Linked DNA regions of Bombyx mori. The protein of the gene in region 2 binds, or shares a complex with, the protein of the main gene of each other region. Links are inferred from orthologs where the notes say so. Each region holds a gene or a part of one and is shown on either strand. Other genes may lie near its edges. The genes, in order: KIF-binding protein and kinesin-like protein KIF18A.

Region 1 (17,421 bases), on a different chromosome or scaffold from region 2:
TTCAATCAGATAGCGTCGTTCCTGTATGAAATTTTCGTATGTCGAAATCTTGGATAAATCCAGCAAAGCTAAATAAAGTATTTACCTAAAAAATATGTTTATGCTTAAAGTCACGTGTTTATGTTATTCGAAAGTATTAAGCTCCAAGCAGCATTTAGCTCCAACTAAATTCATTAAGAACCAATTTTTCAATCGATGATTAAAACAACATTAATACTGAGAATGAATATTTATTTATAAAATACACATATGTTTTGACCACGAATTTTGCACGATAATTTAAATTAATTCATATTTATTAATTAATCTTCTTCTTCTATAACCCATAGTCAACAGTTGATCCTTCTGTTGCTGGTGCATTTGACTCATCACTGTCAAATTTGTCCTCAGGAACAACAGTTTTTTTTTTTTGCTGGTTCTGATTGTTTACTTATACTTGCTTCAGATATATTAAGGGGTGATGTGGCAATACACACTTGCCTTGCCTTTGTGTTCCTGTGCTGGAGCTACTTGGATAGCTTTGTCATTACTACACCTATTTTCAAGTGGCTGGACATCTGGAAATATGAAATAATGTTAGCAATTTCCAACAAACATATAGTTTGTAAATATATAGGATTATATGTGTACTGTCGTAGTAGTAGTAGTAGTATTTAACTTCCTAGTCATCATCATCAGCCCATATAATATATCCCCTTGCTGGACACTGGCCTTCACTACCATTGAGAGGGTTTTTAGGCCTTAGTCCACCACGCTGGCCTAGTGCTGGTTGGTGGATTACACACCTAAGAAAATCCTAAGAACATTTAGGTGTGCAGGTTTCATCACAATGTTTTCCTTCACTGTTAAAGTAAGTAAGTGATATTACACTGTGATAAATTTTCATTTTTACAAACTTCCTAGTACCTTATGTAATAGGAACTGAGATCCACTTGCCCATTTTGGCTACTTCCACTAACTAACTAACTATTCTCATTTTTTCTGATATTGTTATTTGATTAGGAGATCTGTGAGTGTAACTAATTATTGACAGTTACACCTACCTTGACTACAAGATGGCAAAGGTATAAATAATACGACACATCTCATTTTTAGTCGTCTCTTCAATTTCCTCGATAATAGTGAGTCTTTGCCGTTTCACAAATGCAGGCCGAGGTTCACTATGAGTGAATTTTCGTTTTCTATCTGCCCGACAATCGAATTTGGATGGTAAACAGTTTGGTTTCATTCGAATTCATTTGATGGAGCTCATTATCTTGTATTGCATATAATTCTCCATGTCGTTTTCCAGCTAAAACATGAAATAATTTTCCAACAATTTCAATACATAACCTATAAAAAAAATATTAAAATGTTATTTTACTAATGTTAGGAATATAATTTCGACTGTGTCAAAATGTTATTATAATGTATACCTACATTATCTCTTGAAAGATAAATAATGAACATATTTACTTATTTGTTTATATTACCTATGTGAACTCTTAACCTATCTTTTTTATACCTTCATAGCGATAGGTATATAGGAGGATGGAAAAAATGTATTTGGTCTAACTTTACGCGAATGCACATTATTTTATTTCTTTATTTTTTTAATTAAACTGTATACCAATTAATTGATCCTTCAGGATTTATAATTGTTTTTTTTTTCACGATTAAAACCGCGTAGAAAGTTTAGGCATTATAGTCATAGATTATACACTTATTATATTTGAGATTATAGTTGACGCATGCGCCATAGATTATACACTTATGGCATGCGCAGTACACATATTTTGTATACATTTATTCAACTAATACAATTAATTAAACAAAAAATGAGTAATTTCGAAAGAGAACAAACGTATTTTATATAAGAACAATCGAAAATGAATATTTACGAGTAATTAAGGACGAAAAAATATTAAAAATTGCAATCGAGGGGCTAACTTTTAGATATATTTTTAATATTTTTTTTAAAATAAATAAATGGGGAACAAACAATTATTAACAGTGAACAATCAAGAACAAATGATGAACAAACGAATTAATAGAAAATAAGTAGAAAACAGGAAAAAAAAATTTTTTTGAGGGGCTAACTTCATTCACCTCTTAAATGTAGTCATATTTATTAGGTAGATACCGTAAAATGGGGTAAATAGGGACAAAATCGAACTTCAGATTGAATTTTAACATAGTTCCAATTAAATAGTCACTGCTCAACCAAAGAAATAAGTTGAGTCTTGAACGTACCTAGGTGATAAAAACCGTTACATTATTTTAATTATTCAATTTAAAGAAATAATCGGAAAAATAATGGCCATCCCAATTTACCCCGCATTTGGGGTAAATTGACACGGGTAAGGGTTAAATTGGGATATTTGTAAGGGTTGTCAGTTCGCGGTACTGCGATATATAGGTAGGTAGGTAGGTGCCATACAATTATTTATATGGACCGAAATGATGAATACAATCCATAATTTAAGCACAATACACAACATAGTGTAAATTAAGCTGGTTTCTATTCCGAAGCGATGTGACGTGAATGATAATCAACAATACAATGATCAAAAAAAGTATGTGCATGTTATATTTTAGAAAATTATTATTTAATTTCCTTAAAAATCACAACTCTGAAACCAAATGATAAAATAGAATAAAAAATAGAAAACAAAAGGACTGGAAATGCAATAATACAATTTTATTTAATCAACATTTTCAAAATAATCTTTGAGCAAGAGTAAGATATCAGGTGAATAAGATAAAAAAGCAGATTTATCTGATTACTGCCTATAATAACAAAAATAAAAGAAATTCTTTCTAAGCTAAATAACTAAACTCAATTAATTCACTCATTCATAATTGGAACCTAGATATCTCGGATTTTTAATTAATGTTACATTTAAAATCTGAGGCCTGTTTTTATTTGTATGTGCGTTGTGAATGTTAAAAAAATCATTCTGAAATAACAAAAGTTTTGATTCGTTTGAGTTCTTTTTAATTTTTAATTTTATTTTATTGCTATAAAGGACATACGACCAGGCAGATATTATAAGGTAAATGTCGCGAAAAAATGTAATTATATATATACTTTTCTTTTACCTATAGTACTTACATAAACTAACTGATAAACACATTAACCTTCTTTACATCACGCAATCGAGTGATAGTATAGGCTAAAAAATCTATTATAAGATATCAGTGACAACCCTAACAATCCATCCCTATTTTGTCTTTTGGCGTTCCAATTTTGTGTTTTCTCGTCCCTAGTTTTTCCAGTCTCGTTCCAAATTACCCTACATACGTCCCAATTTTCCCCAAAAAGAAAGGAAAAATTATACATTTTTTATTTTGTCGAAATATTGTATTTAAAATAAGAATATTGCAACTTACCGTTTGTTGTGGTATTTCCAGGTGTATTAAAAACTTATATAAACTGTGATCTTATTGAAAAAACAACGATAATATTACTTTTTTTAAAAGTTCTGTAAGCTGTTTTAAAACGCACTTTTCAACCACTATTTTCAATTTAATTTGACGAATTTTTGGGACCTACTTAACTCATATTTAGTACTTCCATAGTTAACTTGGTTTTTCTTCTATACATTGATAAATATTAACATAAACAAAATTAGGTAGATTCCGTGCTACAGGTACTTTGAGAATCTTCCGCAGGTTTGTCCCAATTTACCCCAGGATCCCAATTTACCCCATGTCATGGTACACATAACTCAAGATTTTTTTTTTATTAAATTTAAATTTCATAATAGCATCTAAATTCGTATGAAAATATTTATGGCCCGCCTGATGCTGAGTGGTCGACGTCGCTCATCGACATCACATCACTAGAATACGAAAAAAATCGTGTTTGTCAGGCTGTACCACTTCGAGCATCCCACTCCTTAATAGGCGCGCAAACACCTCCGCCGTTAGCCCCATCACTCTCTTTGGCCAGCCCATACCGTGGGTCTCGAAGGTCAAATACCTAGGCGTCACCCTCGACAGAGGGATGACATTCCGTCCCCATATTAAAACGTTACGCGACCGTGCCGCGTTTATACTAGGACGACTCTACCCAATGCTTTGTAGTCGAAGCAAACTGTCCTTCCGTAATAAGGTAACTCTCTACAAAACTTGCATACGCTCCGTCATGACGTAAGCAGGCGTAGTGTTCGCTCACGTAGCCCGCACCAACTTGAAATCCCTTCAGGTTATTCAATCCCGATTCTGCAGGATAGCCGTCGGAGCACCATGGTTCCTGAGGAACGTGGATCTCCACGATGACCTGGAGCTCGATTCAGTTAGTAAGTACCTACAGTCGGCATCGCTGCGCCATTTTGAGAAGACGGCACGACATGAGAACCCTCTCATCGTGGCCGCTGGAAACTACATACCCGACCCAGTAGACCGAATGGTAAACCGTCGACGTCGCCCAAAGCACGTCATTACGGATCCTCCTGATCCATTAACGGTGCTTTTAGGCGCCACAAGCACCGGTCACCGTCCTCGTCGAACCCGTCGCTTGCGACGAAGGGCTCGACGAGCGAATTAACCCACAGACACAGCCCACTGAGTTTCTCGCCGGATCTTCTCAGTGGGTCGCGTTTCCGATCCGGTGGTAGATTCTACGAAGCACTGCTCTTGTTAGAGTCAGTGTTAGCAACTCTCCGGTTTGAGCCCCGTGAGCTCACCTAAACACGCTAGGGTAAGCTGAAATAGCCTCTCAAGGCAATCAGCATAGGTAGAGAAAAAAAAAAAGTCAGTCTGTTTTTGGCTAATCTCTGTAACGCTAGTACCGATCTGTACGCTTAGTGCGAGTTTTTTAACGGTCTCAATCGTGTAAAAATTCACTTACATTTGTATGCAGTTGAAACAGCGCCCCTAGCGGCAAACGTAGGCAAATGTTCAAACGCCATACAAATTAAAGTTAGCTTTTACGTTACCTATCAAAAACGTTAAAAATCTCGCACTTAACACACAGAACGAGCTTTAACTAACGGACATAGCCGACGTTTCAAGGAGTAACATAGGCATTTTTAATTTCAGAAAGAGCTCGTTTTTCGAGCATGATTATACTAAAAACCCATTTAATTGTGACAAAATCTATTTAATTTGGAAGTTATTAATTTCAAACAAAGCCAAACAAAAGCCTGGCCAGGTATGATTACATAGTTAATAATATGTAATGTAATCGAGATCATAAAACATTTACTTAATAAAATAATGAATGTTTACTTTTGCGAATATAAATTGATTTTTACTTTTATATTTTAAATATGAAGCAAACCAAGTCTTATTAATAACCATACAATAATTCATAAAACTCTTTAGTTTCAACTATTTCTTCTATCCAGCAATTTCGGTTTGCAACTTCTTGATTTTTAAAGGTAAAATCTGACACATTTCTTGGCATAACTTATACTCTTCAGTGAACATCACTGCAACTTCTTCGTGTGTATCACAGATGTCCACAACAGTTTGGTATGAATCAAGGCTTTTCTGAACATGGCACAATTGGTTTATTTTATTTACAGCCATGCGTTTCATACTGTTCCTACCGACTGCAACAAGAGCATTTATCAGAGGTCTTATTAATTCCTGGTCAATTTTTGCAGGTACTTTTCCATTTTTATCGTTTATCGAATTAATAAAGTTGGTGTAACTTTCAATACTTTTATTGCATAGCAAATCAATTTTTTTTCTTGCTTGAACTGTCGCTTCGCTCTTGGGCCATTTATCTATTTTTATGTTCAAAATGTCTGTGTAAACAACACCGAGTTCGTACCAAATCTGTCTACAGTATTGTAAATAATATGTAGGATTTATTTCATTCAATAAGTTTTCAAGCATATCAATTCGCCTCTTCAACATTTTAGCCCTACGATCATCATTATCCTCAAAAAATGCTAGATTATTGTATGCCTGAGAGCTATCTAAAATAAGTTCTATATAATCTGAAGCCAACGTTTCTAGTTTATAATATTCCTTGGCTTGGTTCAACCAGTTTTGGCAACTTAAAAAAATTGCTCTAGCATCTTCATAAGTCAGGAGGTACTTATCTCCTATTTTGCTTTCATATTTTGTAACATCGAGATTCGGAAAAGTCAGTTTCTTAAGATTACCTTCACAAATGTTTTCAGTGTCTTCTAAGCTGAGGTTTGACATATCTGAAATGAAGAGTTTTATATTAAAGCTATTTTAAAATTTCAAAGATAAAACATAGATTTAAGAAAATTAAGACAAGGGGATAAATACAGAAATATTAGATGCATAACTGACCTGTAATAGACTCTGATAGTTTTTCATCATCATCCAGTAGCCTAGTTTTTGAAGCTATCATCAATAAAAGACAGTATTTGGCCCAGCACCTAGCAACATCTGCAGACCTATGTTTAAAAGTCTCTAGTTTTGCTAAGTATTCCTCATCTTGATCAACTGCAGCCTCCAACAGTTGCTTATATTGATCAAGGATTGTTGATGCAGCTGCTAAATGATTCCTTGACTGGTAAAACCCATTTTGCTCAGCAAAGAACTGTGACAATGTAGCTGAATTCAATGCCCAGTCTATAGGTTCATAATCATTATATTCCAGCTGTCTCCTTAATGTTACATGACAATATATTGCTGATTTCAAGTTCTCCTTTAACACACCAAACACCTGAGCTAAATAATACAAGGTCAAAGTATAAGATTTTTCCAAATACATAAAATCATCTATTAAAGTTTCCCCAACATAATTTATAATGACTTCTATAGGTAATGGCATCTGTAGAGTGCACTTAAAGTCCTCATACAAAGTTTTTGCCTTAACCAATGAAGCTTTTGCTTTTTCAGGGTCATCTCTGTTGGACCATAAGATTCCAATATTGTTGTAGACATTAATAAGTGTCACAACTATTTCGGGTTTTAGAGCATTTTCCAGAAGGAGATCAACAGCTTCATTGAGACTCTTTTCACTAGCAGTAGGTTCCTCTGTATCCATTTCTACTATACCAATGTTCAACAAAACATATCCGATCATAGCATCGAGTTTGGTATCATCGACAGGGGAACCTTCAGTCTTTAAGGTCTTTAAAAAAACATACATATTATTCAATATTTCTTTAGCTTTGTACTTAGAAAAATATGGTGCATTTTCAGGATCATTCTTGCTGTCTTCGTCAAGTAGCTTCCGGAATTTAATATAATTCTCTTTAAAATCATTAAGTATCTCTTTAGCACTCATTTCTCTAGTCATGGTTTCGAACTTTCAATGAAATTTCAATCAATATTTGTATGCGGCGTTACAACATAGGTTGTATGATGTTGTGAAATGAATTGCAAGATCAAATTCAACAACTATTTTAACAGATATTGTTTAACAGTAAATATCGTTCAAATTTCACACACCTTTCGTACAAAATGTTTTAGAAAAAATCCTATGTGAAAATCATACTGATAGTATCTACGTGCATATCGAGTGGAGAAAATTTCATGAAATTCAAGGTTTAAAAATCATTTTGACAACTGAACAATTAAACAACTGACACTAGTGAAGTTACAATGTAGTTTCTAGGAATTTATTTTTATATCGATATTCAACACTATTGATTTTTACTCGATTCTACTCTTCTTCTTGCCCATAACTCACTATCGGAGTCACATGCTTACTACACATCTGGAATCGGTGCAAAATGCCTTCTTTTTCCTCTCAGATCTATCATACTTTATCTCTGCAATTACACACTTCTCTCGTATATCCTATTTCACACAGTCCATCAGTCTTTTTACGACAGCCCCTCCGCTCATTACCTTTTGCATTCGATCTAAGATGTCATCGTTTGTATTTATTAGTATAAGTAGGTAAACCAACCCACGCATGTTGAACTGTTTCTAACACTAGGAACTGGCTTAAGGAACCTGTTTATCGTACTCGGCAAAGAGTTAGACGTGTAACCTAACCCATCCATCAGCCCGCTGTTTCTTAGTGGATCGCGATTCCGATCCGATAGTACATTCATCCGCGAAGCAGCTGTTCTGGAGTTGTTAGGTCTCCTTTGTTCAGCTGTTAGCAAATCCCATCCCTCTTGGCTGAGCCTTTGCTCGCCCACATATCCTGGTGAAACTGGAAAGGCTTTCGGGCCAACAGCTATCCTAAAAAAAAAAAATAGAATTGTTACCGAAGCATTATAATGGGGTAACGTAGCCTACACATCACAAAATCCTAGTTGAGTAAACAAAGTAAGGAATTCACTCTCATGCGTGACATAGTGACGCAAACTGCGTTATGCATATTTGTTCAGACTCAGAGAAAATTGTCTTGACACTGACTCCTTCAGAGAAAGAGGGAGGACCGTAGTCACTGTCTACAGCGATTCTGAAGTGTAACTAAAAATTTTAATGGCTCCAAACTTAGATATTATTATCTATACTTTTTTTTTAAATATTATAAAGCTGAAGAGTTTGTTTGTTTGAACGCGCTAATCTCAGGAACTACTGGTCCGATTTGAAAAACTCTTTCAGTGATAGATAACCCATTTATCGAGGAAGGCTATAGGCTATATAACATTACGCTAAGACCAATGCAAGCGGAGCACCAATGAGGAATATTTCAAAATCGGGGTTTTAGTTCCTTTTGAGAGCTTCCACTGCGTGCGCTGCGGTTTAAGTTTCGCTAAAGTAATGTATGAGAGAATTGTTCCCCTTTAAAAGATCTAAAAAAAAGTCCGCGACAGCATAATTAGGTCTATATACATCGAGATATTATGTACTACGTACATTATACGTACGTATTTAATATAATCTCGATGTCTATATAGGTTGGCTCACTATAACGTTTTTATGGTATACAAATTTGTTCTAAAATAAAGCATTATTTCTGAAGGTGTTTTTACAAAGATGATATTGATAAAGAAGATGATAAATAAATACGTTATTCATTACAACATTGAAACACCCAAACCACTTCAAGATAGGCTTTGACAATTAAAGATTTTTCTGGATTTCTCCAAGATCCGATCATCAATCTGTTGTAAACAGGACCATTCGAGAAGTCTACCTTTTGGAAGAAAAAAAAAAAAGAATTATCAGAATCGGTTCAAGCATTCTCGAGGAATCCATGAACATATCTAAATAAAAAATTACGGTCGAATTGATAACTTTCTCTTTTGAAGTCGGATAAAAAACGGGATTTTGGTACCTTAAATAACTCCTCAACATTCTATTATTCAAAAATATTTTCACTTTCTACGTAAATGAAGAGGCGGGTAAAATTTAGCGTTATGCCAAAGTAACTATTCCACGCAGACGAAGTCGCGAGCAAAAGCTAGTGTGAAATAAACAAAAACATTTTGCACTGTTTATTTTCATGAAATAATCCACAATTTTATACGACACCCATCTAGATATAGACAGGTACATTCATAAATTCATAATTTAATTATTTTACTCCCTTATTCACAAATATTATTAACAAATTAATATTATTTTGTACATTGTACAAATCAAATGCTAATAAACCACCATACTCATTCATTTAAATAAAATCCAGTCAGAAATATAAAAATACTGTAGAAATAATTAATGTCAATATGATTTATGAATAAGGGAATTTATCTTATTTTAGGTCTATTACGTTTTAAAATCCCATAGCAAAATGGCAATAAAATAAACCCTGATAATTTCAGCAGCCTATCTATCTGTATGTATGAAACAGTGAATTAAATCTGAGATTGGTATTTAATATATGAAATTAGAAAATTAGGTACTATTTATGGATACAATAATAATTATGTGTACAATAACAAACAAAAGATAGGCGATTTTTAATTTATGCATCCATGCAGATGAGGAATGAACAAAAACAGGTCTGTGTATCATATAGGTGTTAAAAAAAAATGAACAAAAACAGGTCTGTGTATCATATAGGTGTTAAAAAAAATAAGTTTCTAAATGTCTTATCTATGTTAGTAGTTGTTCGAAACAATCTATAGTCATCCCTGACTAAGCAGCCTTCGCTGTGTACAATCTCACAAGCATTTACTCACTTTTATAGTTTGCATTGTTAAGAAAATTAATGAACACAATAGCTGTGTCTATAAAGAGTATACAGATTTTAGAAAATTACTAATTTAAATTACAAATTGGATAATCCAAAATTAAATATGTAAAATCATTAAAATTGATTTCTTGAAAGCTATGTCACAAGAGCTTAATACACATCTACAGAAAATGATAGAATTCTATACCTATATTTTTTTAACATTAAGATTGATATATTTATATACTAACCTACATTAGGTATTAATGGATAATATTCCTAAAGAATTTTAAACTTTTAAAAATTACTTTATTTTTGTGACTTAAAAACAAGCTCTTGCTCCATGCTTCACGGTTACTGAACAATACACCTGAATCAACGATTATAGTGAGACATTCTTCATTCTACATTTTTTTCAATGAACATTATTATACTAACGTACATAAACAACCACTGCTTATAGTTTAAGTCTACAGTAAGAATATTGACATATAAACTATAAACTATATTCATTATTTAGGTTGAAATATACAATTTAGCAAAAGCTATTTCAAATAAAATCAACACAGAATTAAACACATATTACAGCATTTTTTTATCTTTCTAATTTAAAATTTACTTAAGTATATTACAAACAGTGCATTCTACAAAGTGAGAAATTAAAATTACGGTCCAGTGTCTGCTTCTGGTTCTTCTGTCGACATGGCCCTCGGGGGTGTGTTATGTGTATTTAACTGTGAAAATACTTCTTTCTCACCAAGAGCAAGAGGGTCGGGTTGAGTGACAGGAGAGGTTGCATAGTCCATCATGGGCGATGGAGATGCAGGTCGCACCACACTTCCTCCACTTGCCTCTTGCTCCTCTAAGAACCTATCCATGTAATCAGTGTGACCAGGATGCAAAGTATACTTTTTCTTCTCCAATCTAGCCTTATTTGCAAATATATCATGCCTTTCAGTTTTTTTCCAAATATAGTAGAATTGGACGAGTTCTCCGACAGACCGAGTTCGTACTTTGTTCTGCCTTATCAAGTGAAAGTCTTTTCCGTGTGCTTTTAGGCCATTTTCAAAATTTCGGCATTCTTCTTCTGACCAAAGACTTGCGTGAGGTGGAGTTTGTGCAGAAATGCGTTTCCGTCTCAAGGCTTCCTCTGCATTGTGGCCACATTGTTGCAATAAGTACAGGGCCTCTTCATCATCACGAAGCTGTTTTCCTTTTGGAATTAATTCAATCCCGGTGCCTAAATTCAGAGCACACACTTTTCGCATGTACTCTTCAGTGATTCTTTCATCAAGAATAGAAGGATTCCATAGTAATTTATCTTCATTTTCATAAGGTAATGCATCATCATAGCTGCATAGACCCTCAGGTATAGCAGCTTGATAGTCACTACCAACCATTATAGTTTTTTTCCAGTCTTCCTCATCTGGACTGTAATCATAATCATCTTCCTCCTCAGAGGGAGGCCTTGAGCCAGACCGAAGGCATCTAGTAGCTTCAGGGTTTGCATTCTCATTGTATAATTGGGAAAGGGCAGATTCATTTCTCTCAGTCCTCTCAGCCCTCTCCGTTCTCTCAGTTTCCTCAGGAACTACTTCTGGAACTTGGTCAGGAATTGGCTTTTCCATGTTTCTGTCGTAACCGTACAGAGCCAGGAGTTCCTCTAAAGGCATATCTCCCTCCTTCTGAAGGCTATTGAGCTCGGCCTTAGGGTCCTGTTGCTCGCCTGCAGCTAAAGCTTCTTCTTCGTCTAAAGTTCTCTCGTCATCGAAATCATTGACCATCATATCAACAGTAGGCTCGAATAGAGACTTGTCGCTCCCCACATCCATGCTCGCATCGTGTTCGCTTACATTGGTAACCAGCGCGCAATCTGACATGACTAATACAGTAACAAGTTGGATGAAATTTTAACTTCATTAATTATGATAAATAGTCTTTAGGTGTAACAAAATGTACGGTTTGTAATAAAAGTAAACATAAAACATTAGAATAATAACACAATAACCGATTATTTTATTAAATATTCCAAGAACAAAACAAAAATATTTTGACACGACAACCACAATGTCAAATTACTTTTTGTGGGTCGTTTTGTTTTTCTTGAAAATCAGGCAAGAGGACGTTGACCATACAGCTAAGCTTTGCAATAATTACAAAATTCATTATTTTCAACGGGTATGTAAAGCCAATGTTTTTTTTTAAATGGAGTATTATAGTAGAGAATATCTAAGTAATATTTAATAATTCTTGACTTAAGTAAACAAACGACGTCTACAGATAGATCTTAAATAATGCACTTAATATTTGAGGAGATAGGTTGTAAAGTTATCGCGATGTATATTTTGTCAAAAAAACACATACATTTGTCAAATATCAATCAATGTCAGAAAAGTTAATTCTAAGCGCGGTGATCATATTATTCGTTGTTGTGGCTTAATGCAAAAAAATAGATTTTTATTGGAAAATGTTGCTTGGTTACATATTGACTGCAATGAAATATTTATAATATTACAGTACATTTATGTAATTTACAATGTTTCTTAAGCTTCTTATTTTTATTGTAATTGTAAAATGTACGCACAGTTTTTCCGATGTCGGAAAGTGGGATTTGGAACTTAGTGGCGTAAGTTTAAATAAAATTTCAGTTTAATTTCATAATTATCTTGGGTAGCTGCGGTAGTTAGATAAAAATAATAGATACAGAAATAGTATTGAACGTGTCGTCAGAATTGAGTGATTGAAAAAAAAAGAGACGATAATATTGTCACATCTTTACTTAGTGTACGTTCATGAAAATAATAACCTGGTATAGCTGCAACATAGTCCAATCAAACATGATTTTCAGTTAAAACTGTAGATTTGGCTCCCTTTAGCCTTGGCCCAAGCCAAAAGCTGTGAAACTAAACTAATAATTAACTGTAATAACTGTAAATAACAATCATATCTTAATGAGAACAAGGTCCATGTACTTATATTGAGGATGAAACTCTGCCAGGGTTTGAAACATACTACAAGCAGTAATCTTACAATATTCTTAACAAATATTATTAAATAGCTTCAAAACTTTAGAAACCAATTGATCTTATCCTCAACTGGGAGCAGCTGTGTCATAACAGATCTATTGTCTATACCAATAATTTAAATACCTAAGTATAGATTTTAGTTACCCAGTTATTATGGGACATATGGAAAGAAAAGAAGTTAGCAAAAAGAAGAAAAGAAAGGAGATAAGATTAGACTAGGTTAGGATAAATCTAGCCCAAGATAAGACTTGCTGTTTGACAAATTACCTTTTATAGGCATTAAGTTGCCAATTTGGTTGCACCACCATAGGGATGTAATCTGATCTACTCTACTTGTGAAATCTGAACCACCCAAGTTCCTATCAAACCATAATATGCCCAGTAATGCAATATACTTTTTGGTTTCAGGATGATTGTCATTTCACATTAGCAAAGTCATTATTTAAGAATACAAAGCTTATAATTGCAAGTAAGTATTACTTATTAATGCTCTTAAAATAAGTGACAAACAAATCTGTTATAAATCAACTACTACAAATTTCTTAAATCAGATGATAAACTGAATCAACTATATCTTGGCACACAAAGGCAAGGTACAACAGGAGAGGCAAAACGGGAATGAGGTTTTATTTAAAAAAAAAAGATTATCCAAAGCAGATTGTAACACTATTACTTTTTTTGTTACCTTTGTAGGACCACCTGATAGTGAGTGATTGTACAGCCAAGTTTTTGCCTAATTTTTTGATGTCCTTAAATTATAGAGTTCGGTCAGTAGAAGGGAGTTTTTAAATTGATATTCATAAAGTATCAACTAATTTTAAATTATAGATAGTCCACAGGAGAAATTTGGCCTTTCAACATCCACAAGATTTCCACTTTCGGGTTTATTTTTCCCGGGATAATTAATAGTGAGATATATCTTCAGCTTAAGAAAACGATTGCTTTCCTTTTTGGCAGTTTAAAGTATGGTCACCCAACAGTCATACCAAAAAAAAATCTTTTATATTTTTAAAATGGACTTAAAATTGATTCTGCCTCAGGCAATAACTGTTACTTATTTCAATTAGATCAACTAAAAAAATATATAAGGAGTTAAATAAGTGACTAAGTCAATTTAATTATCAAGCCGATTGTGAATCTACTTTTACTTTCGATTTTGACAAATTGGACATTGTATGCATGTCAATTCAAATTGACTGCTCAGTTTAATTATCATTCTATTTCATTCCTAATATAGAAATTGTCTATTTAAAACTATTTATTACAGTGTGATGTTCTGTACATAGCAAAAAGATTTTATTGAAATTTCAATCTAATAATCAGTCTCATAGTTATTTTACAGTTGAATTTATCACTTTATCTCATAATTTCTACTAACTGAACTAATAATTAACTGAAATTGTTAATAATTAATGTTGGTTACTTAACACAAATTTCATAATTTTACTTTACTGGGAAAACAAATAGCAAAACTCTATCAATAACCTTTGAATTGGAATAACTATAGTTAGTCACTAATTGATTAGATACCTAACGAGGTAATTAACCACACTTGCAAAGTATAGTGAAACCAATTTAAAGTGTACTTTTACGTTAAAAATAAGTTGAAAAACTCAGATAACACAATCTGATAGTTCAGCAGTTACAATTATGTTGGTTAACTGATAACTATTTGCAGATATCAGATATATAAAAGACCCTCTTTTGAAATGCGTCATAGATCAATACTTGTGACTTCACAATATGTTTCATAGCATTCTGACTGAGGAATGTAGAGTTTGTAACATCAATATTAAGTTAAAACTGTAGTTTCATGATATTTTTTTCATATTTCATATTTTTAATATTTAAGTATTTATTGTTTAACAACTAGGATTTTCGCCTACATTAAGGTAGCTGGAATAATACACATATGAGACATAAAGGGTAATTGAGTTCAGATCACTAACTACTAATCAACAAAGAGTTCTGCCATATTTGAGGGGTACAGTTTTAAGTTGTAGTGTAAAAATTCTTAGTTCATTTTTGCAAATTTCAAAAAAAAATTCTATCAATAACTATTCATACTCTTGAATAAGATGAAGATAACTTAATATTAACAAGTCATTATTTTTTTTCGAGCCGGGGTCCGATTCTCCCACGAGGTCCCCGCGCCTAGGGTTTCCCCGCGTCTAGAGATAATAAGACTGACCCAGTGGCGCAGCTGACTTCTCCGCCGCGGGTCGTGGGTCGTGGGTTCAATTCCCATATCGGGCAAAAATTGTGTTATAAATGGGTTTTTTGCTCTTTATCTGAGTGTATATTATCTACATAGGTACATATATATTTAAACATATATCAGTCTCTGGTGTACCTAAATTGAGGCCGGGTGACAGTGCATGATTTGTTTCCAGTTATTTGAAGTCGTCGTGGCCTAAAGGATAAGACGTCCGGTCCATTCGTATGTAGCGATGCACCGGTGTTCGATTCCCGCAGGCGGGTACCAATTTTTGTAATGAAATACGTACTTAACAAATGTTCACGATTGACTTCCACGGCGAAGGAATAACATCATGTAATAAAAATCAAACCCGCAAAATTATAATTTGCGTAATCACTGGTGGTAGGACCTCTTGGGAGTCCGCGCGGGTAGGTACCACCACCCTGCCTATTTATGCCGTGAAGCAGTTATGCGTTTCGGTTTGAAGGGCGGGGCAGCCGTTATAACTATACTGAGACCTTAGAACTTATATCTCGAGGTGGGTGGCGCATTTACGTTGTAAATGTCTAGGGGCTCCAGTAACCAGTTAACACCAGGTGAGTTGTGGGCTCGTCCATCCAACTAAGCAAAAAACATTTTTTTATTTATTATATATATATTAATTATTATTTATTATATACAATATTATTCTTATAATTGAATGAAAATTACAAGGAATGCATTATCATCTAATTCTACAGAATTTTTCACTAAGTGATTTGACATAGTGATAGAAAATAAGTTTACAAACTTTAATAAAATTTTCAGTGCACTGTGATGCAGCTGTACCATTGAACATCACATACGATTGGACACCTGAAATGTGTTCTCCGGAATACTTACATTATTTTGAACAGGTACATCTTGTTTTGTACTATTACTTTTCAATAGCAACGTATCTAAGGAAACAAAGGCACTAAAGATTTCTCTGTCAATTAAGTTTTTTTTTATTTCTATTTATCGAAGGTAATAAAACCTGCGTATCCTACCCGTACACAAACACATTGGTCTATAAAAGAGATCCGAATATCCTTGTGAGTCTGCACGGGTAGGTACCATCACCCTGCTTATTTCTGCCGTGTAAACCAGTAATACGTTTTGGGTTTGAAGGGTCCGGCAGCCGTTGTAACTCTACTGATACCTTAGAACTCATAACTCAAGGTGGGTGTCGGCATTTAAGTAGCAGATGTCTATGGGCTCCAGTAACCACTTAACACCAGGTGGGCTGTGCGTTCGTCCACCCATCTAAGCAATAAAAAAAACCTGTTATTGTTATTCCAGAGGATAGTTACGTGCACCGATCGCTTGGAACGCACAACGAGAGACGTCAACGCCAGTAGGTCTTACCAAGCGATGAGCGTTCAAGAGACAAGAACGTGTCACAGTAATTCTTCGCTTGTGTTCGACGGCGGGAAGGATCAGCCCGTTGATAAAATTGAAACGGCCATAACATCGCAATCTGTGAGTGATTCCAGAGTTACACATCGCACCTAATAGAATCGAAGTGGCTCAAACCAAAGTTCTTAGTTTATGCTAAACTTTATGCAACATACCTGCTATATTTTTATATTTTACAGAATTTCTGTAAATTAACCGGTTGTCTGGAAGAGATCGCTTTTAGCGATAAGACCGCCTATTGTACATATGTGCTTTTTGACTGTTTTTTTGAATGTAACTTGTGCAATAAAGTGTATTCTCTCTCTCTCTCTCTCTTAAACTTCTAAAATGTAATGGAAAAATAGTTTTTCGATTTTAGTATTTTAAAGGTATGCGCTTGATTTAAAAAAGATGGATACAGCACGTTCGGCTTTTCTTGTACTAAAAGAGACCGTTTAATTTTATAAACTGACTAACTGTACCCGTCCGCTTCGCTGGGCATTTAAAATTAACATTATTATTTCTCACCCCCACAAAGATTCTCACCATTAACGCCCCCGCAACTGGTGTAGGGAGTCCAACACTCATATAAATATTAGCCTATCCATTAATTACATGTATTTTGTACATGGATACCAAGTTTCAAGTCAATCGGATGCATAGTTCAGTAGTTATAAAGGAACACCCGTAAAAACCACTGTAGATTTATATATTCGTATAGATATAGATAGAATACAACGCGCTGCTCCATGTCCTAACGTTGGTCCAAAATGAGCTATTCA
Region 2 (16,903 bases):
AGCAGTGCTTCGCAGAATCTACCACCGGATCGGAAACGCGACCCACTGAGAAGATCCGGCGAGAAACTCAGTGGGCTGTGTCTGTGGGTTAATTCGCTCGTCGAACCCTTCGTCGCAAGCGACGGGTTCGACGAGGACGGTGACCGGTGCTTATGGTTCCTAAAAGCACCGTTAATGGATCGCAACTTGGATGACTTTTACTAATAAAGCAAAATACCAAAACAAATATTTACAAAATTTAATACTTTCACACGAATTACATACACAATCTCATATCAAAAACTTGCATAAATTATATTCTTATTATAAAACATACTTAATACACTTCAGTCATTTTATTCAATATAGTTAATAAACACACACAAAACTGTCAAAACTGGCACTTTAGTGCACAACTATACTAACATAGAAAAATATATCTACTTCGTTCCTTAGTGCAAGTTATTGTTAATCAATTCATATTAGTGGCGCGTTACACTAGACTTTTCTAGAATATAAGTAAGGTACATACAAATATTGAATAAAAATACATTGAAATTATAAAGAAAGTATTCAATAACACAGAAGTTTGCTTGTATACAAGATAAAAGATATCAAATAACGCTAGTAAACGCTACAAACTGAGTATGATATATGTATGTATTAAGATGCTTGCAGTTCAACTAGTAAGAATATTATAGGCCACGTAGATTAGCTTTCCAGTGAATGTTGGAAATCTTAGTGTCAAATTGCTATTTTTGACAAACTAGAGACCAATATTGCTGACAAGCTGTCAATATATATTGCTGACAAACTAGAGACTGGTATTGCTGACAAGCTGTCAACAGATATTACTGACAAAATATGACTCGTGAACACTGATAAATAAAGGTTACGTTGCATTAATGAGCAACTGCAATAAAATGCTTTATTTATTTATTTCTGTGTATTTCGCATCTCTATAATAGGAAAAACGTTTGAGTATTAAATTCATTCCACGGTCATAAATATACTCTTCATACTTTTCTGAATGGTTTGACAGTTAGATGTAAGAAAGTGATTCTTTTATCTTGCAACACACTTACACAATCGTATTTTTTTTATCAAAAAATAACTCTACGAAACACGTTGTTGCCGCGTTAAAAAAACAAGTTTACAAATTATTGAAACTCTGAATTATAAAGTTTAAAGCCATCATAAAAATTACAATATAATATTTAAAAAAAAAAGTTTTATTTTATAACTAACAATAATGGATAATTAAGTATGTTGTATTATTTTCAGTGACATACAAAAACAGTTTTATTTTTAGTTCTCGGTCTTCGATTCTTTGAGACAAACTTGACACAAAGTGGATGTCCAATTTTGCATTTTTTTTTTATTTGCTTATATGGGTGAACGAGCTCACAGCCCACCTGGTGTTAAGTGGTTACTGGAGCCCATAGACATCCCACCTTGAGATATTCTTGAGAAATAAGTTCTAAGGTCTCAAGTATAGTTACAAGATACGACATGGGCGTCAAGTAACGACAAAATCAGACATCGCGTAAATTAAACTGGGGTACACGTCCAAACGTGTTTACGGGGCGCAAGGAAACCGCTCACAAGAACGAGAATGCTATGACAGTACTGATAATCCTGAGACGGTAATATAATATTCCTGCGATCAGCTGACGCTCGAGGTCAACGACCGTGCGTTAACCTAGCGGGAAGCGTCACACGAGCGGTCGGCACTTCAATTTAACGGTCTTATTCATTATTAGATATCCGAGCTTTGTAAACTCGTTCTATGAGTATTGACCGGGTCGAATTATCCGTATGATTTTATACATTTAAATGAAAAACTACCGAATCTCGGTCACGCCTACCGCTGATTTCTATAAAAAACTGATTTCTTGAAAGTATTCCCAGGTCACCACCTGTTATCAGTTGATGGTACTGTGAAGGAAACACAACAGTAATTTTCCAAGTTTCGTTGCAATCACATGAATATTTTTGCAACACATAGAGGACAAACCAATATACAAATAATTATTAAGTTTTATTTATAGTACTAGAAGATTATTAGCCTATTAGAAGACAGATAACGCTTTTTGTCATGATTATTACAACGGGTTTATAAAGCTCTTAAACACATTATGAGTAAGAGTTTATAGACCTCAAAGTTTTGTTCGATTGTATATTATTCAAAATTACTCAAAATGATAAGTTTTGCTTTGGAATAACAAATGAAATTTCGGTTTTCTTATCGTCTCAAAACACGACCTTGATAAAACTAAGTATCGAAGCGTATTTTGAGTACAACAAACTTTCTCCATTAAATTAATATTTAGTGTGAAAATGAATAACGTTGTTTTAAGTCACTTTTTCATAAAAAAAAAGCGTTAAAGTATACAAGATTTAATATTTGTTGATCAAAATGATTGGTGTTCAGAGCTGAAACGAAGGGAGCTTCTCAATTTACTGGAGATAGGATGTGCCACGGAGACTACCCGAGAATGTACCGCTGCCCTCGTCGCGAGGCAGTGGGAGGGTCCAGTCGCGAGGGCAGGGCAGGCGCCTACTTCGACAAAGCGGCGCGACGTGATAATCCTCTTATTACGTATATACGTTTTTTTTTATTGCTCGTGTAGGCAGACGAGCATACGGCCCACCTGAAGGTGAGTGGTTGGTGCGAGCTGGTTGATCCGGTAACAAAATTGTTTTTATCACTTCCGTAACAAAATTAATATTACAAATCGAATAGTTATCGTCGAATACAAATCGAATATCGAATATAAATAATAATTAATGTATGTTTGTCCGAATCCACTGGATTGCATTGTAAAAGTTTCAGCATCAACATTCGGGATAGGTCACCGTCTCAGTACCATCAACGAATTCGTTTACAATCGTTTACTACTAACTCACCTTTTAAGAGTCATCGCTTTGTTTTCGAGTAATTCCCTTGCAAAATGTTTTGAGGTAAGTTCTTGAGAAATAAATAATAGTTTAAAAAAACTAACAAAATACGCCTTTATAGAAAATTCAACTAAAAAATAGAAAAAAATCTTTTTCATTTTTTAGTTGAATTTTAATTTTTTTAATTTTTTTTCAATTTTATTTTTAAATATTGAATTGTCATCGGTCCTTAATAAGTATACCAAATTTCGAGTTAATCCGACGTTTTGAAGGGGGTCAAAATCATGTTCAAAGATTCCGTTACAAACATACATACATACGTCTGAAGCTAATAAAAGCGTATTATAAGAACTGCCCATATATGGTTATCTATATGATTCGACTCAAAAACTCAACGTGTGAAGGCAGTTTAGTAATTACACAATTAACATACAACACATACACAGTACAACGTCTTCATTATACCGTGGTGCTCCGTTCACTTCCTGGCGGCGAGGGCGGGCGGCCTGGAGTAGGGGTGGTTCTGCACGCGCTCCCTCGCGCGGACGGCTTTGAAACCAACTGACTTTTGAGTGACATTCGTCTTTGTACGAGACGCGTCTGTTAGTTTGTTAGTCGACGGCACACGACGGCACAGGACACACGACGGCACAGGACACACGACGGCACAGGGCACACGACGGCACAGGGCACGGGAGGACACAAGACGGCACAGGACACAGGACGGCACAGAACAACACAAACATGAAAAACAAATGGTTAGTTGTCGTTAGATTTTACGTTCAGTCGCGTCAAACAGTTTCGTAAGCTTTCAAACGAGCATTAGAATTCAAAAGAGTATCTTAATTCATTAATAGTATTTTAAGGGTGTGTTCATTATGTGAGAGACGGTCATGTAAAACATTTTACTACTCCTATAGTGAGTTGATTTGCTTGTATTTTTATTAGGTCTATCCACAAAGTATATAAAAAAAAAATTAATAAAATGTTTAAATAAAAATTAAAATTTAACTAATGAAATGTTCCTGATATTAACATATAATTTTATTTTTTTTATTGCTTAGATGGTTGGACGAGCTCACAGCCCATCTGGTGTTAAGTGGTTACTGGAGCCCATAGACATCTACAGCGTAAATGCGCCACCCACCTTGAGATAAGTTCTAAGGTCTCAGTATAGTTACAACGGCTGCCCCACCCTTCAAACCGAAACGCATTACAGTTTCACGGCAGAAATAGGTAGGGTGGTGGTACCTACACACGCGGACTCACAAGAGGTCTTACCACCAACAAAAACTATACTATCATTTTATAGAAATTAACCTAGCCGTACTAGCCAGGTTAAACACAATGACCGAAATCTTCGTCATTTATTTTAACATTTACCTTGCACGTTCCTCTGCAGCGGAGTTCCGTCGCGGGACAGGCTGGACCCGAAGCCGGGCCCCCGCGGCGCGCCGGGCTGCGGGCCGGGCCGCCGGAACGGTATCGCTTTACCCACTACGGGTTTCACTAGCTTAGCTGCTGACAGACATTACCATTTTACTCTGTTTTTACTAGTCCACGTTTTAAAATAGAATTCATAATAACTTTGTAACTCGTAAAAATATTAGATTCATTAAATATACATAATTCAAAAACAATGCTAAAATAAATATCAAGAAAAAGTCTTATAGTACTGTTACGTCGGTAAGAGTAACGCCATCTATCGCCGAATAGCCGAAACGAATATCAAAGGATCTAGTAACAACTAGAACGCTCGAGATGTACAACGCCATCTCTTGTCAGATAGCGGAAACGCACATCGAAAATACTCGACTTGTGAGGAATGTTTTCAATAAATCTAGGGATGTCGTATCGACTATAAAAGCGTTGCAGAGATGGCACGAGTGATTTAGTAATCGGAACTACTCGGAGCGAAACAGTGAACGGATCACCCGAAGCGAAGCGGAAGAAGTGAATTAAGAATTTTAAAGTGTTCTGTGAGTGTTCTAAGTGATAAATATAGTTTTAAGTTGTACTCTGGTGGAACATTTATTTATCTCGAAACGCAGCGTGCAACAGTTCTTGCGGATACTTGCGAACAACAGATGTTCGCAGAGTCGTAACTCATAAAAAAACTTGTCATCTCACCCTTATCACCGAAGTTAATTGTCCTTTGTATAGTATTAGTCCTATCCACGAGTCCTCTCTTGACTGGTTGTACTTCCACTTTTGATTCGGTCTTGATTGGTTTCCTCAATGCGTCCATTTTACCCGCCAACACAAAGGTAGAATTCAAATCGTTAGGATCTACTACGTTGTAGTTTTCAATATCAGGAGCAATGTCAAATTCTTTCTCCCTTTTGATTTTCTTGGCTGAGTTAAGATTTCTGGTCGCATCCAAACTTTCAAAGGAGTCATTAATTAATATGGTTTCATTATTTGGCAGTTTAATTGGCGTCCCTTTACGTTTAAGAACTTTAATCGGCTCTCTGTTTTCAATGTCGGTCAAATCATCACTGTCTGTCATTATGTCTATGGTCATGTTGCCTTCATCCTTCTTGTCGTAGTCTATGGCGGTTGTTGGCTTCTGTATATCTAGGCTCGATATGAATTTGAAATTAGAATCGATTTCACTGTCTTTGTCAGACCATGTGATGGCCTTAGCTAATTTCGCTTTTTTCATTATTTCTATATATTCAGCAGTCAAAGCTGGGGGTGCTTTGTCATAGCCTTTTAATGTTAGATATAATTTCTTAAGCATGCTTGGCATTTCGCTCATATATTCAGTGAAGGCATTGATTTCTTCATTTTCAATGGACAATAATTTGTATCTGAGGTTATCTCTAGCCTTTATATGTCTAAGTTCACTCTTTAAATGTATGTTTTCCACAAAATCAGCTAATTCAGTGAAGTCAGATACAGCTTGATTGCATACTACATGTAGTCTCTTGCGACTGTCATCCCATTTAGTCCAAGTCGACATTATCTGAGAATCTAAGTGCACCGTTTGTTTTATGTAGCTTTCAGCTGCTCTTTCTTGCCTCGGTATATCTTCATTGCAAACCTGAATTAATAAATTTGTATTCAAGCTGAATCAAAACGGTAATACCTTAGGAATACCAGCATAAGTCTAGTTAAGTGCTTACAATATAACTATAATTGAAAATTTTAACAAATTTTTAAAAAGAACATTATTACTTTGGGCTTCTTTTTCAAAATGTCATTTAGGTTTAGGATTTGAGAAATTCTATGGCCCATTCCAGTTTCCCAAATTATATGATGTTAATGATATTGTATCCAACTCAGATTTCAAATCCAAAATTAATATAATTTGTTTTTACCTGTTCCATTGCCTCGTAGGAGGATCGATGCGCTAGATCGGCGACATGCGAGAATGCTCTGGTCCGTAAACGCTGTCGCAAGGCCAGCACCCGTTGTCTCGACATCAAGTTCAATAATTCGGTCTCCAATGAAGCATGAACAGAATCGCAGTCAATGATGCGACGCCGCCATTCCTTTATCGCTATATTTTTAATATAAACAAATTAAATTATAAAAATAAACATGCCACAATCTGTTATTTTTTATTAATTTAGCTTATATGAAGAGCTTGAAGCCTATCTGGTGTTAGGTGATTACTTACGCTCACATTCAACAGAATGTGAATGCAACTATTTGGTCTGATATTTGATAAAATCTTAGTTGCCTGAGCCCAAAATATTACATAGCCTGAACCGTGTCACATACCATAAATTGCACAACATACTACTACCACTTTACATAGTGTTGTCAAAACACTAGAATCGATTATTGGTAAATAAAAACGAATTAACGAAAGTTAACAAGTAATGACAAATGTAATGTAAATGAATTAACGAAAGTTAACAAGTAATGACAAATCAAATAAAATATTTCTCATTTTTACCTTTCTCCTTCACCATGTCAGGTTCTTTTGACACATTTTTAACGCTAGACAAAGACAGCTTGGCTTCCAACTCTTTTACTTTCTTTTTCAATTCTTCATTAATCTTCACATATTGTGACAAGCGCATGTCACCGTCAACAATGTTCTGGTTAAAAAAGAAAAATACTTTTTAAAACACTTGTGAATTATGGCTACGGCTATACAAGACGCTGTAGGATAGCTAGGAGAATAACGGACGTTAGAATTTCTAAAAGATATGGATAACATATCAAAAGTAATGAACAATAACACATTATTATTTTAAAGTTTGATCAAAGATATATTCTAGATAAGAATAAATTTAGGATCTGAAACGGTCCAAGAACGTTAGGTGGAATCAATAGATGTGTGGACGAGCTCACTGCCCACCTGGTGTTAAATGGTTAGCAGAGCCCATTGAATTCAACAATCTAAATACCAACATCTACATAGTTATATAGTACAATACGTGAAGCAGCAGTAGCCTTTAAGCCGAAACGCATAACTGCTTCACGGCAGAAATAGGCAGGGTAGTGGTACCTACTTGTGTAGACTAATAAGACGTCCTACCACCAGTTATTATGCAAATTATAATTTTGTGGGTTTGATTTTTATTACACTATGTTATTCCTCAATTGTGGCAATCAGTCATGAACATTTGTTAAGTACATATTTCATTAGAAAAGTTGGTACATGCCTGCAGATTCGAACATTGGTACAGTCACATCGCTTCATACAAATGCACTGAGAGTCTTATCCTTTAGGCTACGACGACTTCAATTCTTCTTATAAAACATAATATGGACTTCATCAAATATGAAGTGAATCCTGATATAGGGTAATCAATATTTACCTTCTTAATACTGAGCTGAATCTTATTAGCTCTAGCTGCATACTTGAGAGTATTGTATGTATCTTCGTAACTGACACTTGACGGAGATACATTTGCTATCATCACCGTTTTACAGTTACCACCTAGGCTGTCCTTTAGCAACCGAGTTAATTTTGAGTCTCTAAAAAAATTATTATTTAAACTTAACTATGTTGAACAAAAATAGGGGATTCAGTGCATTACAGTGTATTTTGGGCTTCTTTTATTATTGTAAGTTTTTGGCCTAATTTTGGCCAACTGACTCTAATGACATGAGTAATAATAAGAGTACAATTTTGAGTTTAAACAATTAATTATAATCTACCTGTACGGAATGTAGTTGCTTCCATCAGCTAGTTTATTAATACAATTGCCTAACGATAGCAAACTCTTGTTGATATTGGCACCTTCTTTAAACCTCTCTCCCACGCAACCTGTAGCAGAAGCTCGCTCACTTCCAGCCAAATCAATCATTGATAGCTTAACAAGACGTAGTTGACTGCTAGTTTTGTATCTCATTTTTACATATACCTAGTAATAAAATGAGAAATATTAAAAATACAAATTTACATTCACACTGTGAAATTGAAAAAAATTATATATAATTGAGTTATACACAAATTTACCAGCCCACATTTTCTAACATGTTACTAATGCTCACCTGAAAAACAGCATGACTTCTTGAACTCTCAGCATTTGCATCTGTAGGATGCTGGGTCCTGTTCTTGTTTCCATTTTCAAGCATGTTAAGGAGTTCCCTAGCTGTTTTAATATTGTTCAGTGTCAGACCGGCAACCATAACACCATACTTTGAGTCCTCTCGAAGTTGCAAGGGAGTTTTTGAAGGTTTAAGGAGATCATATACATTTTCATTGTATACCTAAAATCCAAGTAATTATGCTTCAAACTTAATTAAAAATCAGTTATAATACAATATTTAAGAAGTTAACATTTTAACTAGACAATTTAGTGATTATTCATTTTAATTTATATTTAAATTGTGCCTTTACAACAAAAGAGCACAATTTCCATTTTGATAAATAAAAAGTAAAGGAAGAAAACATAAAGTAAATAAAAAGACTTTTAAAAAAAAAATGGGGCTCACTAACATTCCAAAGAACAACCAACAGTTGGTATATAGCCAAGACAAGATAATACTGATAACTTTGTAAGTGGTATTTTAAAAACTTACTTCAATATAAGAGACTCCTATATCAAATTCCCTCTCCTTTTCAAACTGATTAATAGTATAGAACAGATGTTCCATGGTCAGGTAAGTTATGCCAGGGTGCTCATTACTGCCGATCATAGTGAATGTCTTCCCTGCACCAGTAGCGCCATACACAAATACTGAACAATTGTAGCCTTCCATCAGAGCCGCAAGCATATCTTTCGTTGTAGTTTCAAAAACGTCCTTATTCGATGCTTCTTGACCACAAACATTATCAAAAACAAACTTCAACTCTTTATTAGCACGTTTTAAAAAGTTTTTGTTCGGTTGCTGTACACCCTGGTAGAAGAATGGCCTGATCTCTTCCTTAGGGTCAAACACTAACATTTTGTCATCTACGACGTCTACAACAACGCGACTGTTGAGATCCAACTCTTTTTCGTTCAAAGGACGTACTCTCACTACAACTTTGATGTTCGCAGCCATGTTTTGTGTAGAACCGCATTTAGACGGCACTATTCCACCACCAGAGCCTTTAAAACCCGTAGCGACGGGCCGCTTCTCTATTTTCACCATAATTCCAACGCACTTTATAACTTTATCATGAAATGAGATTACACTTCTAGCAATCCACACGAGTACAATCAACCGCCACTCAAACAATAACGCCTTTTCTGCATCACATTCGCTCAATTGGACGAGTTATTTAATTAATTTTTGACTATTTCTTCACAAACAGAAACGAAGTTTTATTAAAATTCAAAATTCTAACCGTCAAAATTTTGAATTGACATATCTGTTCTACACATTACACTAGCGCATTTTTTATTTGATATTTCTGCCTGAGCAAGCAAACGGAACTAAGTTCATACAGTCTTGTCATTTAAATCTGAAATGAAGTTTTAAAAAAAAGTAAAATTAAACTAAAATAAATTATAGTCAAATATAACTAATAGTGATAAGACAAAATAAAGTAATAGTCTAATGTAGTATTAATAAAATTTGCATTTGCTTGTTTTTACATTGTCTATCTCTTCGGCTTGGGAATAAAAATCTGTAGGAAACTCAATGAATTTAATTATATTCTAGACCTTCTCTCAAATCACATAATTCCATGTCTTTTTTACAATTTAATTTTATTATTATATTAATATTAATAAATTTGATTTCATTCCGGTTCTAAGTACTCTGAAAAAGTATACGGTGCAAAATCAAAGAATGATTGGTTCCTATTTAAGTAGCTCTTTTTAACCGATTTCAAATAAAGGAGGAGGTTCTCAATTCGACTGTATTTTTTTTTAGGTTTGTTACCTCATAACTTTTGAGTGGTTGAATCGATTTTGATGATTCTTTTTTTATTAGAAAGCTGACGCTTCCCGTGTCGTCCCATTTCAGTCCAGTCCTGATAATGATATCCATAAGAAAACCATATAAGTCTTAAATTTGTATTAAGTACGTGCGCGACGTATAGATGAATAACTCAATAACTCAATATCACGCCAACCGATTTCGATGATTATTGTTTTTAGTGTAGGTATATTAATTTGTTTCGGAATATCTTTTTTTTTCTATTTGAAGTCGGTTTTTGTTAAAGCATGTCTATTTACAATTATATTAATATAAAAAATAAACAATGTGACAAATTCACTGCCTGGAATTTTTAGTCCTGACACTTATCTTAGTTACATATGTTTGATGCTGTACAATATACAAAACTTTATCGTGATCACGTTGCTTTATTGCATACACCAAATTCTTAACCATAAATAAAAAAGGCTTTCCGCCTACGTGTGAGAGGCAGTAAGCAGTGTATTAACGTTTACCTACGTTTGCCGCCAGGGGCGCTGTTCCAACTGCATACCAATTTGAGTTAACTTTTACGCTATCGAGAACGTTAAAAAACTCACACTAAGCACACAGACCATGTTAGAATGAAGTGAACCTCCCTCCGCCAAAGAATACTGAGCCTATGCCACCGAGGTATTAAACTACAGAAGTTTGAACTACCTACTCTACCACTTCATCATTTATCGACATAAACCTAAAAAAGAGACAAAATCGAAAGAACAACACTGAAGTTAATAGAATTTTATATAGATTCATATATACATCGCCCTCGGCTAGATAGGCACGATGTAGTCTTTATTACGACGCCATCCCTGTATAAGAAACAAATACAATTTCCTCTTAATTTCCGCTCTCGATCTTATCTGGACATAACGACAGGCTTAGCATTCAGCCGACACTCTTACTAAAACTTCGGAAATAGGAACAATTCCATTATGATTATTTGTCAGTATTCACTTTTATGTTTATTTTAAGTATTCATAAACGATGAAAGTGTAAAGATTACTATCTTATTTTGAGGTTAATCTGTTATTACAGTTAGTCATCTTATTTCTATACCTTTAGGTATTATATTTTATGTGCACGTGACACACAGATAAATATAATTAATTAATGTTAGAATGACTTATGAACGAGGCACACGGAAGTTTAAAACTAAATAGCGTGATAACACAATTGGGTATTTGAAAATTATTTTTTTTTGTGATAAATGGAAAGGTCATATATTAGTTTTATAACAAAACAATTTTTTTTTATTTTTTTTTCGCAATAATTCAAAAGTTATTTCAAAATAAAAATTAATTTTTGAATCCAGTACCGAAGACACGCCGACAGCTCCCGATCAAACCCGAGCGCGTGTGACGTCATAATGTTAGTTTTCCCTCATTGCAGTTCATATTATAGAAATACTCGTAATCATAGATTATACACTTAATATATGTAATAAGTACAGTGTTTTGATCTATTTAATTTTGTTATCATCGTTAAATATTCAAATATTTATATAGAAAATGTCGAACCTCAAAAGTTATCGTTCTTCTTTTGTACCATTATGCATGAAAACTACATAGACAACTCCTGAAAAAATGTTTTTAAATGTTTCCCAAGATGACAAATATCGAAATAAATGGTTTCAAGCAGTGCACCGTGATAATCCCAAAACAAAATCGATTTTTTTTTTTCATTGTGAAGATCATTTCGACGTAAGTATTTCTTATCACAACCAAAATATGGAAATTTATAATCCTCAAGAACTAAACATTGATGCCGTATCAGCCAATACTGTTGAAAATATTGGTGTTGATTTTGATTAATATTATCAGATTTATTTATTTTATTTATTGGGTACCAACATGTTATACATCAGCACAGAACATTACAGGTAGGTATCATATACATTGATTTCACACTAAATGCTAACACAATTACAGGTACCGACTGCATGCATAAAAAAAAAGCGGTTCATTATATAAAAAACAAAGAAAAACTATATATAACATTACATGAAGACCTTATATTATTACACATTTACTACCAAATACGCTATTACTTAATTTAAAAAACTCATTGAGTAAGGCTGTAGACTTCTCGTCTAAAACTGTCAACAGTGCCAGCAAAAACGTCCAGAGAATACTTGTTATGCAAATTATTTAATTCCCCAACTAGTCTGCTGAGAGGCGCGTTCTTACCAAGGTTGGTGTAGAATCTGGGAACCCTGAACACCATCAACTTAGAAGCCCTTGTCGACGTCAGCGGCACGTTAAAGTTCAGAAGAGATAAGAGATCAGGGGCATCGTATTCATCGTATTCAGATTTTGCCTTAATAAATCCTTTATCACACATAGAATCGTAACCAACTAACAACTTGTTTTTTAGCAATAAATTTTCAATATTATTGTCTAGTCACGTGTATTAGCCGTAAACGCTGTACTGTTAATAAATAGCTATAACATTATGACGTCACAACTATGGTAACCAATCATGGCGCGTTTATAAGTCACGTGATTTTTCTTAAATTCTATCAATTTTTAATTCTTTATAAATAATTGAAGAAAAAACATTTTTAAGTTTTTTGCATTAAATATCCCTATTATTACTAATAAAGTTTTAAAATACAATAAAAAAATCTTTTTTTTTTTTTTTTCAAATTCCCAATTAACTGATGTCATACACTATTTTTGGGTAGGTACTTCTATCTAGGATGTTTCTGTCAGATGTTAGAAAAAAAACTTAATCTTTTTCTTTTTCAAAATGCCTAAAAACAAAATACAATTTCATGACATCAATATTAATTTGTATTGGGTATTTAATTTTCGCAACATGCATACGTAATAAATCCCTTTCCAATTATTAGTTCGAATTTTAAATCACCACGCTATTCCGATCATATAATTACAGGTGGAATATTGCAATCACCTTCATAATTAATTCCCGTAGCTCGTTGATTTTTACCTTATATTTCATAACGAATTGTCAAAGGAAACGCTCGCTGTAGGTACAATGGTGTTCAATTCAAAGAAAAATATAATTTCACTTTTCTCACTTCTAGAAGATTCTAGACACCCTTCAGTCGGTCCGCATCTACGACTGCTCAGTTTAACTGGAATTTGGTACCCGAATTCAAAGACTAATATAACGCTTTTGAAACGCGCTTGTTTCTACGTCATCGTGTTATTTTTCGTCAGCCAGTACCTAAAATGTATTATCAAATTTAAAATCGACTCGTTGCAGCTAATTTTAGAGTACGCGCCATTTCACATGGGCATCGTGAAGACATGCTTCTTCCAAAAAGACTACAACGTCTGGCAGGATCTCGTTAGTTTTATTTCGAAAACCGAACGGGATCAAATAGCAAAGAAAGATCCAAAAAGTATTAAAACAATACAGAGCTACATCTCTCGTAATCGTAAAATTACATATTCGTTCTGGGCCCTAGCATTCATCGCAAACATTGGTGTTTTTAGTAAGCCATATCAAAATAATCAGAGCGACGTTAACGGCACTGTTACCTACAATCACCTTTTCGATGGCTATACACCATTCTCAGAAGAACCACCGGGGTATTATTTTTCCATGGGAATCGAAACTATACTGGGTCATGTCGTAAGCTTCTATGTCTTGGGCTGGGACACTCTGGTTGTGTCCATAATGATATTCTTCGCCGGTCAGATGCAAATGTCTCGACTGCAATGCTCGAGGATGATAAATGGAAGCCCGGAGCGGACTCATAAAAATATAATTAAATGTCATAAATTTCACACGGATTTGATCAAGCAAGTATAATATCAAGATATACGCGTTCTTGTGTGATCACTTCAAAAACATATTAACCTTGCTAAAGTCTAGTATTTTTTTTTCAGGTACCAAAAACAATTTAATTCGCTTATATCCCCGGTGATGTTTGTTTATTTATTCGTAAGCTCCATCAATCTTAGCGTTTGCATCGTTCAGATTGCAGAGGTATCCAACATTTCAGTCTCTTGACTTAAAAAAATTTAATGTCCAAATTCCTGGCAAATGATTATGTTATTAAAATGTATCTTATACAACCATCATCACTATCACATCTCCCGCCACCGGAACAGATTTCATCGATACTATCTGAAACCGCAGCCTCCATCAACAGTGCTCGTCCAGAGATATTTTTTTCCCTGTACCATTTGGCTCTGAATCCCCTCCACAATATTTCCAGAGGGCTAGACAGACTATGTAGGTTCGTCTGCCTACAAAGGCAAGCAAAAAAATGCATGAAAGTGCTTTCGTTTCGTCTCACTCAACTATAGACTACAGAAATTATATTTCGTGTGTGTTTAGATAGAAGACGATTTCGCTACAGTATTATCAAGCTTCATCTTCTTGCTGGCGTGTCTAATACAGCTGCTACTATTCTATTGGCATAGCAATGAAGTTACGGTTCAAGTAAGTAAAAAAAAAACTGAATGTTCTTAAATTTGAATTGATGAATAGCGATGTTCATCCATCCAGCCGTCGTAATTAGTGTAGATAACAACACAAAATAGCACATTTCGAATGAACTCTTCTGATTCAATAACATCGTTACCGGGATAAGGTAAATATTTATAAACGTCAATATTAAGTAATTATAATACTTCAATGTTTACTTTGCGAAAATTTAATATGATATTAAAGCATGGTTATTGATCTACAGTGCTGCCGACATCCTTGAACGACAGGTTTTCTCGTCGGTCGTCACAGATTCTGATCAAACACGTTTTAGACAATTTATAATGTTACGCGATGGGGTTCGGGATACATAAAATTCCACCAAAGTACTGTATTCAAATAGTACTGTAAAACTGTATTCAAAACTTAGAACACTTAAAACACTCAATTCGCTTCTTCCGCTTCGCTTCAGGTGAACCGTTCGTTGTTTCGCTTCAAGTAGTTCCGATTACAAACTAACTGCATACCATCTCTGCAACGCTTTTATAGCCGATACCACATCCTTAGAATTATCGAGAATATTCCACACATTTCTAGTATTGTGTTTCCGCTATCTGACAATAGATGGCGTTGTACTTCTCGAGCGTTCTAGGTGCTACGAGATCCTTCAATATTCGTTCGACTATTCGGCGATAGATGGCGTTACTCTTACCGGCGTAACAATAACAACAACTTTTATAGGTTTAAATAAAATTTTAATTAACTTTTTCGAAAACCTTTTTTTTTCTACTTCACACAGAGCGAACTAGTAAGCTACAGTACTTTTGAAAGTAACTGGACATCCACACAGAATAAACTACAGAAAGAAGTGGCCCTACTAGGTCTAACAACGTCCAAAACGCTGGTCTTCACAGCTGGTTCCTTCAATCATATGACCTTAGCGACTTTCATATCTGTGAGTCTAACTTTTGAACTTTTTGAACTAATTGATGTAGATCGACAATCCAGCACTGCGACCATGATTGATTTTGGAGTCCATAGACACCATAACTTGAATACCACCGTTCTCGTCATTGTAACACAACTAAAATATCAGCTGACGCACGAGTTCAACGACCTCGTATAAGGGTAGCCGCCGTCTCTGGGTAGCTGACGTCTCTTTGGAATGCATAATACAAGAATAAACAACGACATGTTGAATATTACTAAACGAATGTTTCTTGTTCTGGTTTATCCCTTCAGTTAATGTAAATACATTTTTTGTATTGGCAACACGTGAACGCCGTTTGGTATTTATCATTGAAAATTTAATTTAACTTTTCAGATCATAAGAGCAAGCTACAGTTTCTACGCTTTACTGAATAGTACCAAATATTAACAATCACAAATAGGCTGGACAAATATATATTTTTTTCGCACTCTTGGTATGTTCCATGTAATACGATTGAGTCTCGAAAAAAACCAGACCTCACAGAATTGTTACCTACTTGAAACGAAAACAACTGGAAGCGCTGGTGTTGTAAAATACCTACATAATGGATGTCGTGGCGTGCAACCTCTTTGACAGGACATAAGACCTACAATGACTAGACATAGACAGACTAAGACAGATATTTGAAAATAATTCGAAAAGAAATGGAACGAGGGCGTACGTGACCAGCGGCACGGCAGTACATTTTTTGACTTCTGAAAAGACAGACATACAAAAAGACGAAAAAGAACGAATAATAATTGACCGTTCTTATCAGTTCTTATATAAGATGTTCAAGTGACCTTCGACCGTTCAAGTAGTCATTCGACCGTTCAATGACAAACAAGAATTTAATTTGAAAACGAGTTATTTGGTATCACAGATTCACGTCATTCAATGCACTGAAATATTGAAATAATGTTTGCTAAGTTAAAGGTATTTACCGACGACATAAATTAGCATGGTGAGATAAAACATGTTATATAAAAATACGGTTATTTTATTTATTTTCTTATTCTAAGTCTAGCAGCAGAAAACTGTAGTGATTTATTCCCCTGCGGCTTGTGACACAATGGAATTTTAAACCATGCTACTTAATATGTAAACAAGCACTTTTTTCTTCTTCGTACCTATGCTGATAAACTTGAGAGGCTATTTCAGCTTCTCCTTGACGTGTGGATCACGGGGCTCAAACCGGGTGTGTTGTTAACACTGACCCTAGCAAGAACAGTGCTTCGCAGAATCTACCACCGGATCGGAAACGCGACTCACTGAGAAGATCCGGCGAGAAACTCAGTGGGCTCTGTCTATGGGTTAATACAAACACACGATCAC

Evidence for each region.
Region 1: the proteins of kinesin-like protein KIF18A (region 2) and KIF-binding protein are in contact, whole or in part, in a cryo-EM structure (PDB 7RSI), measured with the Homo sapiens proteins. The link is inferred for Bombyx mori from reciprocal best matches to the Homo sapiens genes KIF18A and KIFBP. Residues at the interface, in NP_112494.3 of Homo sapiens: Glu181, Thr183, Gln184, Lys185, Gly186, Arg274, Phe275, Val276, Glu277, Gly278, Thr279, Asn280, Ile281, Arg283, Ser284, Leu285, Leu288, Gly289, Val291, Ile292, Arg314, Lys317, Asp318, Gly322, Asn323; in NP_056449.1 of Homo sapiens: Ser150, Glu151, Tyr212, Tyr213, Gln216, His220, Gln238, Ile251, Asn252, Thr255, Gln258, Asn262, Gly414, Tyr415, Val459, Asp460, Leu461, Asn462, Pro463, Gln464, Leu467.

The regions. Positions count from the first base shown.
Region 1 is NC_085118.1:3,179,200-3,196,620, reverse strand, and holds KIF-binding protein, read right to left. Parts: upstream 8,113-17,421; 5' UTR 7,217-8,112; coding exon 6,259-7,216; intron 6,147-6,258; coding exon 5,326-6,146; 3' UTR 5,066-5,325; downstream 1-5,065. Other genes in the region: mesoderm induction early response protein 1, read right to left, coding at 10,663-11,877; transmembrane protein 87A, read left to right, coding at 12,534-12,623, 13,432-13,492, 16,031-16,119, 16,544-16,723. UniProt on the Homo sapiens protein: Activator of KIF1B plus-end-directed microtubule motor activity. Required for organization of axonal microtubules, and axonal outgrowth and maintenance during peripheral and central nervous system development.
Region 2 is NC_085128.1:15,381,823-15,398,725, reverse strand, and holds the end of kinesin-like protein KIF18A, read right to left. Parts: intron 15,977-16,903; coding exon of another isoform or gene 15,923-15,976; intron 15,554-15,922; coding exon of another isoform or gene 15,398-15,553; intron 14,614-15,397; coding exon of another isoform or gene 14,509-14,613; intron 14,155-14,508; coding exon of another isoform or gene 14,055-14,154; intron 13,968-14,054; coding exon of another isoform or gene 13,195-13,967; intron 12,821-13,194; exon of another isoform or gene 12,361-12,820; intron 11,898-12,360; exon of another isoform or gene 9,800-11,897; intron 9,737-9,799; 5' UTR 9,424-9,736; coding exon 8,869-9,423; intron 8,557-8,868; coding exon 8,338-8,556; intron 8,208-8,337; coding exon 8,002-8,207; intron 7,819-8,001; coding exon 7,659-7,818; intron 6,933-7,658; coding exon 6,788-6,932; intron 6,386-6,787; coding exon 6,204-6,385; intron 5,927-6,203; coding exon 5,011-5,926; intron 4,399-5,010; coding exon 4,264-4,398; intron 3,481-4,263; coding exon 3,359-3,480; 3' UTR 224-3,358; downstream 1-223. Other genes in the region: Or-36 (olfactory receptor 36), read left to right, coding at 13,195-13,967, 14,055-14,154, 14,509-14,613, 15,398-15,553, 15,923-15,976.